Arabidopsis thaliana: one gene and its partner. Each later gene encodes a partner of the first gene's protein in a complex. Each region holds a gene or a part of one and is shown on either strand. Other genes may lie near its edges. The genes, in order: AT1G76200 and AT2G02510. A codon is read from its position in the direction of its gene.

Region 1 (3,879 bases):
TATAAAGTAGTATGGGAGGTTGCTTTATTTTTCCTAGGCACGATCACGGATTGTTAACTTGAGCGTTTTGTGATTAAAGATAGTTTTTCCATCTATCTATGTTACACTTAATATCATGATGAAGTGATTTAGATTTGTTGGCTGTAAAAAGTTTTTAAAAAATGATTTGCAGGATTTTCATGTGACGAGAAAAAGAAAAACAACGAACACTCATGAAAGTAGAAGAGAGAACTATAAAATGAAAAGTAGCAAGCAACTTGCTCGAAACGCTCACATGTTTCTATCATTACCTTTGCGCTCTGCAACTACTTTAGTATCTTGTTAAAGAAAAAGTGGTAATAGTTAGTATTATTTGTAATGTTATGGTCTGTCAATACACTAGCTTAGCTTGATTTGATTAACTTAATTTCCAAATAATGAGATACTGTCTACATGGTGATATAGCTTTGTCAAAGTTCATTAATGACAATGACAAAAACAAGTGTGTTAGTAACCAAGATAATTGCATTTAGTCGTAATTCATGTTTTGAAACGGAAATAATTAGAAAGATCGAAAATCTCTAGATATTTGTAGAAGGTCAGTACATAACTCCACGAGTGGTCGTGATCCAATTTGTGGACAAATTTGAAAAGCAACTAAAAACAATCAAATAAGCACGAACATCCTTTTCCCTCCACACACATCAAAATCCACAGTTTGGTCCATATATTGCTATATATATAGAGAAGCAGTTAGGCATTTAATTAAGGTTGCATACAGACAGATACATACGCAACGAAACTATCAAAGCCGAAGTAACACACACACAAAAATCATATGAAGAAACTAAATTCTAAAGGGATTAGACTCTCCGAATTGATGGAGAAATGGAGAAGAAGGAAGAAAGGGCACTTCGCTGTGTACACGAACGAAGGGAAGAGATTCGTTTTACCATTGGATTATCTGAATCATCCGATGTTACAGGTGCTATTGCAAATGGCTGAGGATGAGTTTGGGACTACCATTGATGGTCCTTTAAAAGTTCCTTGCGATGGAAGTTTAATGGATCACATCATCATGCTTGTGAGAAGGAGCATGTCCCATGATTATGATGATGTGGAGAAGTCTTCCACGAGCAGCACCTGCAAGGGAGCTTCAATCTCTTCTCTCTTTCGTGGACAGAGCCAGCTTCAGTCATTAGTTTCCTAACCATTTGGAGTAATTGTTAACTTTTTTTGGAGAAGGGTTGTTCTATTTTGTGTATACCAACATGATCTTGTAATAAATTAATTATTGTAATGTATCAATGATACAGTATCATCATTTGATTTTGAGTCTTTTTTTGACGGTTAAAACAACGATTTGGGACGAAGTTATAGGCCCTGAATGGATGCTGATTTTGGATTCAGTTTTTGAATTTAGATTTTAGTTTATAGATTTTAGATTTTAGTTTCAGATTTTTATTATTATATTTTTGTTTCAAAAACCCCAAAAAATTGGTTTTTGGTTTTTGAGAAAAATAACGTTGATTGAGTAAAAACTAGATTTCCTAAATTTTAGGAGAACTAAAAAACTAAAATCATGAATGGAAAACTACAAGAAAATAATTTTTCTAAATTGTAGGGAAACCAAAATTTTAAAATCTTGATTGGTATGAAAATAAGTTTTTGGAAAACAAAAACCAAAAACTCTTACAAAATCTACAAAACATTCAATTCATGTATCCAAACTTCTTAAAGGGCCCAAAAAGGAAGAAAACATTGTGAAAGAAACAGATATAGAAATGGGCCTTTGGTCTTTAAATTGGGCCTAAGCCTTTTAATTGAGGCCTTACTAAAAGTGACGACTCACATGGTTGAATCAAATCTCAGGTAGTAAATTGTCAAAGCTGAGGAGAAAGAAAGCTTTTTCGGTCTGAAATTGAAGTGCGAATCGGGGAATCTAGGGTTTCGAGAGAGAGATAATGGGTGGAGGAGGACATGGCGGAGGTATAACTTACAAGGGAGTCACTGTCCACACTCCCAAGACTTGGCACACCGTCACCGGAAAAGGCTTGTGCGCCGTTATGTGGTACATTTCTGATTTCTCTCTTTCACCTAATTCGCTTTTGATTTTGGGACCTAGCTAATCTCGATCGTAGCTAGATCTCGCCATGGGGATTTTGGGCTAATTGATCATCTGAGGAATTTTGTATATAGAATCCATTTGAATCAAAAAATTGGATTTGTCAAATTAGTATCGGAGCTAATCAGGTAGATGTTAATTTGAATCAGATATTGCTTATGTCAATTTCAGTTCGATGAGAATGGTTGAAGAAGTAATCGCACATAGGTTTTAACTTTCCCTAGCATTCACATCTTAAAAACTCAATTTTTGGTATTTTCAGGTTCTGGATTCTGTACAGGGCAAAGCAAGATGGTCCTGTAGTTATGGTAAAACTCTTTCATTTTTTATCTTTGTCTCGCTTTTGTAAATTTTATTGGTCCTAATATCTTTCGTGGTGGCTGAATCTGATCTTGCTATTGGCAATGGATAGGGATGGAGGCACCCTTGGGATGGTCATGGTGATCACGGTCACGGAGATCATCACTAGGTAATGTCTTTACTAGTAGTATTGTCGATGGAATCATTAAGAAAGATGATTAAAAAATCTCCTTTTTCGTAGTAAACACGCATTATTGTTTATACCGTATAGCAATTCCTCAATGAAGCTAATGTCTATGCATAATGTAGAGTAGCATTTCTAAGTTGTCACTTACTAACAAGATCTCTTGTTAACTGCTATCTAGTTGGTTTTGAAGAAAGATGATAGCTTTGATCTGGTTTTGGTTCATACAAGTGGTGAAAGTTTAGAGGATCTTTAACTTCTCTATAGGATGTTCTTGATTTATATCTACTAGAATGAATCATTGAAACTCTCGGGAGTGAATGAAAATTGAGTGCCTTTATTGTGAATGTTTGTTATTAGTTTAGTGGTACATGTTTTGAGTTTTCTCTTTGTTTAGACATTGATGATTTGTAGTTATCCTCGAGTTCACCTTTCATGTAACCATATAAGCATTGCTCAAACTACTTGACACTAATCTGGTTTTGGGTTTTGCTGCTAGGTCTCACTGAACCTTTGAAGATCATGACGAAAAAAGGATCGTCTCTTGTTTTTTTCTTAATTTTCAGCTTCATATGTCGAAATAAAGAGAACTGTGAAGAAGACGTGAATTGTTTTTGTACACAACTTTGTAAGACTTGCTGCTTCTGTTTTAAGTTACTACTTGTGTGTTGCACTTCCTGATCATGTTGTTATTTTGCTGTCAACAAATTAATTTGAAATAAAACGCATTGCGAGATTCGTGTTTTTAGATCCAGCCTCCAATGATACGAATTACAAAGAAACACTAGAAATTAGTTATATTCGCTGTGTTAAGTATACAAATTAACACTTACGAAACTGAATTTGTTAATGGTTTTTATAACTATATCTGAAAACCAAAAAAAATATGCAAAATCATCAAATTGAAAATGTCTATTCTAGCAACATGAATTGTGAATAAATAAACAAACATCTATAATTCAAATTTTACTTGAATAACAATTTCATTTTGACTCTATTTTTGGTGAAGACAAAAAGTGTGCCTTCAACTTCAAGTCTTTAATCCAAGTAGCCAGTTTAGGAAACGGGTAAAAAAATAAATTATATAGAATAAAAGAATTTGATGTTGCAAACTTGAAAATAAGTTTACAAATCAATCTATTTAATGTTAACTAAACATGTCCGCTTGAAGCAAAACCTAACCGATCCGGACATATCATATATTATCTAGTTGGTGAGAATATTAAGAAGTGAAACTCTCGTCTGAATCAATCGCCGGAAAATAGATTCCAACTCTATTTCAAGCTCCACT
Region 2 (4,258 bases), on another chromosome or scaffold:
AAAAATTTGACCTCTCAAAAAAATATGATATTACTATAAAATGTGTGAGTCATATTCTAGTATACTATAGTAATAGAGTTGAAACAGAAACTTTGTCCAAAATTCAACATAGAAATACTAAATGACATACTTTGTAACTTTTTTTATAGATTTATGATATAAAAAAAACACTAATACAAAACATATTTTATGTTGTTATGTATTATTTAAGCGATTAATATCATTTTTTGGAGACAGTCTAAGATGATGGTGGACATCCGGGATTTTGATAACCTGGAGGACAATAAGGTATAACTGGGAATTGTTGCACTGATATCATCGCGTCATGGTTCGGTGGAGGTGGAGGAAATGGTTCGGTTGGAATAACCGGTGGATTAAACGGTTTAGAATCGATTTGAAATTTTGGCTTTAGCGTAGGAGAAAAAGGTTCAATCCTAGCATGACCAAGACCAGATGCAAGAAGAAGCAAAGTAGCCACCATTGTTATTGCGGGGAGCTTCAGAATCATCTTCATATTTTGTTTTGTGTTTGCAAATGTCTAACCTAGATTTTTATTTATATTGTTGTGACAAAAATAGCATAAAGCAATATACTTATCTTTTTGTTGACTAGAATTATATGCTGTGACAAAAAAAAAGACAATTAATATCATAGATTTTGACTAGATTTCTGTCCAAAAAAAAAAGATTTTGACTAGATAATTTCATATAGAAAGAAAGTTATATGTAACTGAATAAATGTGGTGATTTGACTAATTTCATTGGCAAGATTTAATTTCTAATATGAAATAAATCATTAGGATTGATATGTAGTTATGTACCAATACAATTTAACCATACATGTGATGTAAGTAAAAGGATAAACAAACTGTACCGTGTAAATGCTTCATATAACAACCTTCATGCTTCATGCTTCATATGATATTGATTTTTGGTTTCAAACCACTCGAGTTTTTACATTCGTCTTAACCATAGCCAATAAGGAGGATCATTGACGTTGTTAAAAAGCCTTTGCTAATGATATCGCACAAAAACGACTGCTTGTATCACATAAGAGGCAATCTTTATTCTCCAGTGTCATCTTAGAAGAACTACTATTAAGCAAAGAAATCACATAACGAAACCATGTACTGGAAACTGTCATACAAGATTATAACATTCAACATAGAGATCAGAGTCTTTGTCTTTCATTCACAGCTTATTGAGACAATCCAAGAAACAAAAAAAACAGCAAATTGTGAATCCATCAGCTCTTTATCTGCCACGGTTTTCATCATCGAAACAATCTGCAACAACATGAGTAATTTCCTTTAGTATACAACCTTTTACAAAAAAAGATTCAGAGCCAAACACCAAAGAGGGTCTCATAGAAGAAAAGATACAAAAAATGACACCTATCTTTCAGATCATTAGTATTAAAGCAAAGAACCAACAAACACAGAAATCAGACAAAGCTAATGCTACACATTAATCATCACAGATACGTATAGACATTTTGAAATTGATCTGAAAGATAACAGATACTAATTAGCAATATGCTAATAATAGCTGGTAACTTTTAAGAGTGTACATAAAGATAATCACTGAAAGCCGTAACCATAAACATGTGACCGATCCAATCCCAATACTTCAGGATTCTAAAAGCCATAACCATTTGTTTTAGTCTCAAAAGTGTTTATTCAGCTTTGCTCTATACATTACCTCAAGGAATGGATTCATCTCAAACTAATACACACATTAGCCATTGACAATAAAGCTTCTAACATTGAATCACTGAAACTAGACAAAAACATGATCTAATCCCAAACCTTGATTCTAACCATATTCCTAGATTATATGCACAAATCTTACTCTATCTTCCACAAAACTTGACTTCAAATCTCATAACTATTTGTATTAGTCTCAAAGTGTTTATTCATCTTTGCTTGCAAGGAATGGATTCATCTCAGACTAATACACATTAGCCATTGACAATAAAGCTTCTAACTTTGAAATTTCAATCACTGAAATTAGACAAAAAACATGTACTTTGACTAATCCCAAAACTTGATTCTAACCATATGCAAAAATCTTACTCTATCTTCCTCAAACGTGACATTCTAAGAACTTTGCCAAAGTTTTTGTTTATCCAATCTTTCACAGAGAAGTCAAATCGATTTAGGATATAAACCTCCGAGAAGCAAAACAAATTCGAGAAGATTTGATTTTTATTTTACCTAATGATTCTCTCAGTGAGATGGAGCGGGTTGTTTCTGATGCGATGATTGAGAAGAAGGAGCCATGAGTTTGCTATAGATCTGTTCACCGACGAGGTAAACGCAGAAGGCACCAACACCGATTCCGATACCTGGAAGTGCGTGTCTCATTTGATTCGATAGCATCGGATGCTTCCTCCACTCATCCCTTCGCCGGAAAAATTCACCGGTTGTTCCCAACGGTTTCGCCATTTTCTCCGGTCTTCTTCGATTTTTACGTTTTTTTCTTTCTCTTTAGCTTTGTTGTGTTGTTTTACTGTATTGAATTATGGGCCTTATTAAAAGCCCATTAGTATTACTGAGTTTTTAATGGGCCTGATGGGCTTATTGTTTTTAGTTGGCCTTATATATATATTGGTTCTCCGAGGAACCGGAGCTTTCTTCTTCTCTCAGGCGAGATAAAACATGGCGATGCTTCAGACGAATCTTGGCTTCATTACTTCTCCGACATTTCTGTGTCCGAAGCTTAAAGTCAAATTGAACTCTTATCTGTGGTTTAGCTATCGTTCTCAAGGCAATTTCTCATACTCTTTATATACGTTCAAACCAATGAATCTCTGGTTCGGTGAGGAGATTTTTGATTGTTTCTGAATGTTGATTTTTCAGTTCAAAAACTGGATTTTTCGAAAAGGGTTAATAGAAGCTACAAAAGAGATGCTTTATTATTGTCAATCAAGTGTTCTTCATCGACTGGATTTGATAATGTAAGTGTTAGTTCAAAACTTGGAATCACTTAGTTTTGAAGCTTTATCTCTAGTTTAAGTTTTTTTTGTTTTTCAGAGCAATGCTGTGAATGTAAGTTTAAAGTTTTGAATCAACTCAAATTTTGAAGCTTTTTTTTTATCTCTAATGTTTTTCAGAGCAATGTTGTTGTGAAGGAGAAGAGTGTATCTGTGATTCTTTTAGCTGGAGGTCAAGGCAAGAGAATGAAAGTAAGTGTTTTTGGGATGAAAGTTTCAAACTTTATGCTCGAGTTTTAATTGTTTGTTCTGTTGAGTTGTTTGTTTTTCTATGTAATGTGAATAGATGAGTATGCCAAAGCAGTACATACCACTTCTTGGTCAGCCAATTGCTTTGTATAGGTAACATTTCTTACTTGAAAGTCAGTTGATTGGTTAAGTCTTGTATGTTGTTTGAATCTGTTTCTGATAACTAATTACAGTCTCGTTTGATTGATGGAAGAGTTGTAATTTGACTGTTTTTTCATTCTGCGGAATCTACTTGTCTATTAGTATTGAACCATCTTTGCTTTGTGTTCGTTGAATTTTATGTTTCATTGTTGCAGCTTTTTCACGTTTTCACGTATGCCTGAAGTGAAGGAAATTGTAGTTGTATGTGATCCTTTTTTCAGAGACATTTTTGAAGGTTTTTTAGTCTCTCTTTCTCTCATTAGTTATGTTTTTGGTTGAGAGATGTTCCAAAGATTTCTCTGAGCCTCTTTTTGTTTTGTGGTGTTCTAGAATACGAAGAATCAATTGATGTTGATCTTAGATTCGCTATTCCTGGCAAAGAAAGACAAGATTCTGTTTACAGTGGACTTCAGGTTTATACCTCCGTTGCTTTGATTAACATATCCAATGAATCATTTACTCAAAAGAAATAATTCTACAACATACTGTCTGTTCTAGTTCATATAAGCTTCAAGTTTATTTCTCATAGGAAATCGATGTGAACTCTGAGCTTGTTTGTATCCACGACTCTGCCCGACCATTGGTGAATACTGAAGATGTCGAGAAGGTATACTTATGAGAAGTAGCAAAAGATTAAGGAGAATGAAACAAAATTCTCGAAGTCCCTTTAGAATTTATTGCACTGTTGTATTTTGTTAAGGTCCTTAAAGATGGTTCCGCGGTTGGAGCAGCTGTACTTGGTGTTCCTGCTAAAGCTACAATCAAAGAGGTACAAAATCTTAAGTTAGTTTTTTTTTTTTTTGTCATCACCACATTCTCGATATTCGACTTGTTCCATTTTGCGATATGCAGGTCAATTCTGATTCGCTTGTGG

The links.
Region 2: the proteins of AT1G76200 (region 1) and AT2G02510 are in contact, whole or in part, in a cryo-EM structure (PDB 8BEH), measured with the Arabidopsis thaliana proteins. Residues at the interface, in NP_565128.1 of Arabidopsis thaliana: Ile10 (codon at 1,971), Thr11 (codon at 1,974), Tyr12 (codon at 1,977), Lys13 (codon at 1,980), Val15 (codon at 1,986), Val17 (codon at 1,992), His18 (codon at 1,995), Thr19 (codon at 1,998), Lys29 (codon at 2,028), Cys32 (codon at 2,037), Ala33 (codon at 2,040), Trp36 (codon at 2,049), Phe37 (codon at 2,368), Leu40 (codon at 2,377), Tyr41 (codon at 2,380), Lys44 (codon at 2,389); in NP_178355.1 of Arabidopsis thaliana: Glu17 (codon at 2,398), Trp18 (codon at 2,395), Lys20 (codon at 2,389), His21 (codon at 2,386), Pro22 (codon at 2,383), Met23 (codon at 2,380), Leu24 (codon at 2,377), Leu32 (codon at 2,353), Pro33 (codon at 2,350), Gly34 (codon at 2,347), Ile35 (codon at 2,344), Ile37 (codon at 2,338), Gly38 (codon at 2,335), Val39 (codon at 2,332), Ala41 (codon at 2,326), Phe42 (codon at 2,323), Tyr45 (codon at 2,314), Leu46 (codon at 2,311).

The regions. Positions count from the first base shown.
Region 1 is NC_003070.9:28,591,408-28,595,286, forward strand, and holds AT1G76200 (NADH dehydrogenase ubiquinone 1 beta subcomplex subunit), read left to right. Parts: upstream 1-1,803; 5' UTR 1,804-1,943; coding exon 1,944-2,050; intron 2,051-2,366; coding exon 2,367-2,412; intron 2,413-2,516; coding exon 2,517-2,573; intron 2,574-3,087; 3' UTR 3,088-3,343; downstream 3,344-3,879. Other genes in the region: AT1G76190 (SAUR-like auxin-responsive protein family), read left to right, coding at 818-1,189; AT1G76210 (DUF241 domain protein, putative (DUF241)), read right to left, coding at 3,795-3,879. UniProt on the Arabidopsis thaliana protein: Accessory subunit of the mitochondrial membrane respiratory chain NADH dehydrogenase (Complex I), that is believed not to be involved in catalysis. Complex I functions in the transfer of electrons from NADH to the respiratory chain.
Region 2 is NC_003071.7:671,526-675,783, reverse strand, and holds AT2G02510 (NADH dehydrogenase (ubiquinone)s), read right to left. Parts: upstream 2,525-4,258; 5' UTR 2,447-2,524; coding exon 2,228-2,446; 3' UTR 2,216-2,227; intron 1,286-2,215; 3' UTR 798-1,285; downstream 1-797. Other genes in the region: AT2G02515 (uncharacterized protein), read right to left, coding at 239-514; ISPD (Nucleotide-diphospho-sugar transferases superfamily protein), read left to right, coding at 2,660-2,768, 2,861-2,958, 3,115-3,186, 3,281-3,336, 3,540-3,619, 3,715-3,797, 3,914-3,991, 4,085-4,153 and 1 more. UniProt on the Arabidopsis thaliana protein: Accessory subunit of the mitochondrial membrane respiratory chain NADH dehydrogenase (Complex I), that is believed not to be involved in catalysis. Complex I functions in the transfer of electrons from NADH to the respiratory chain.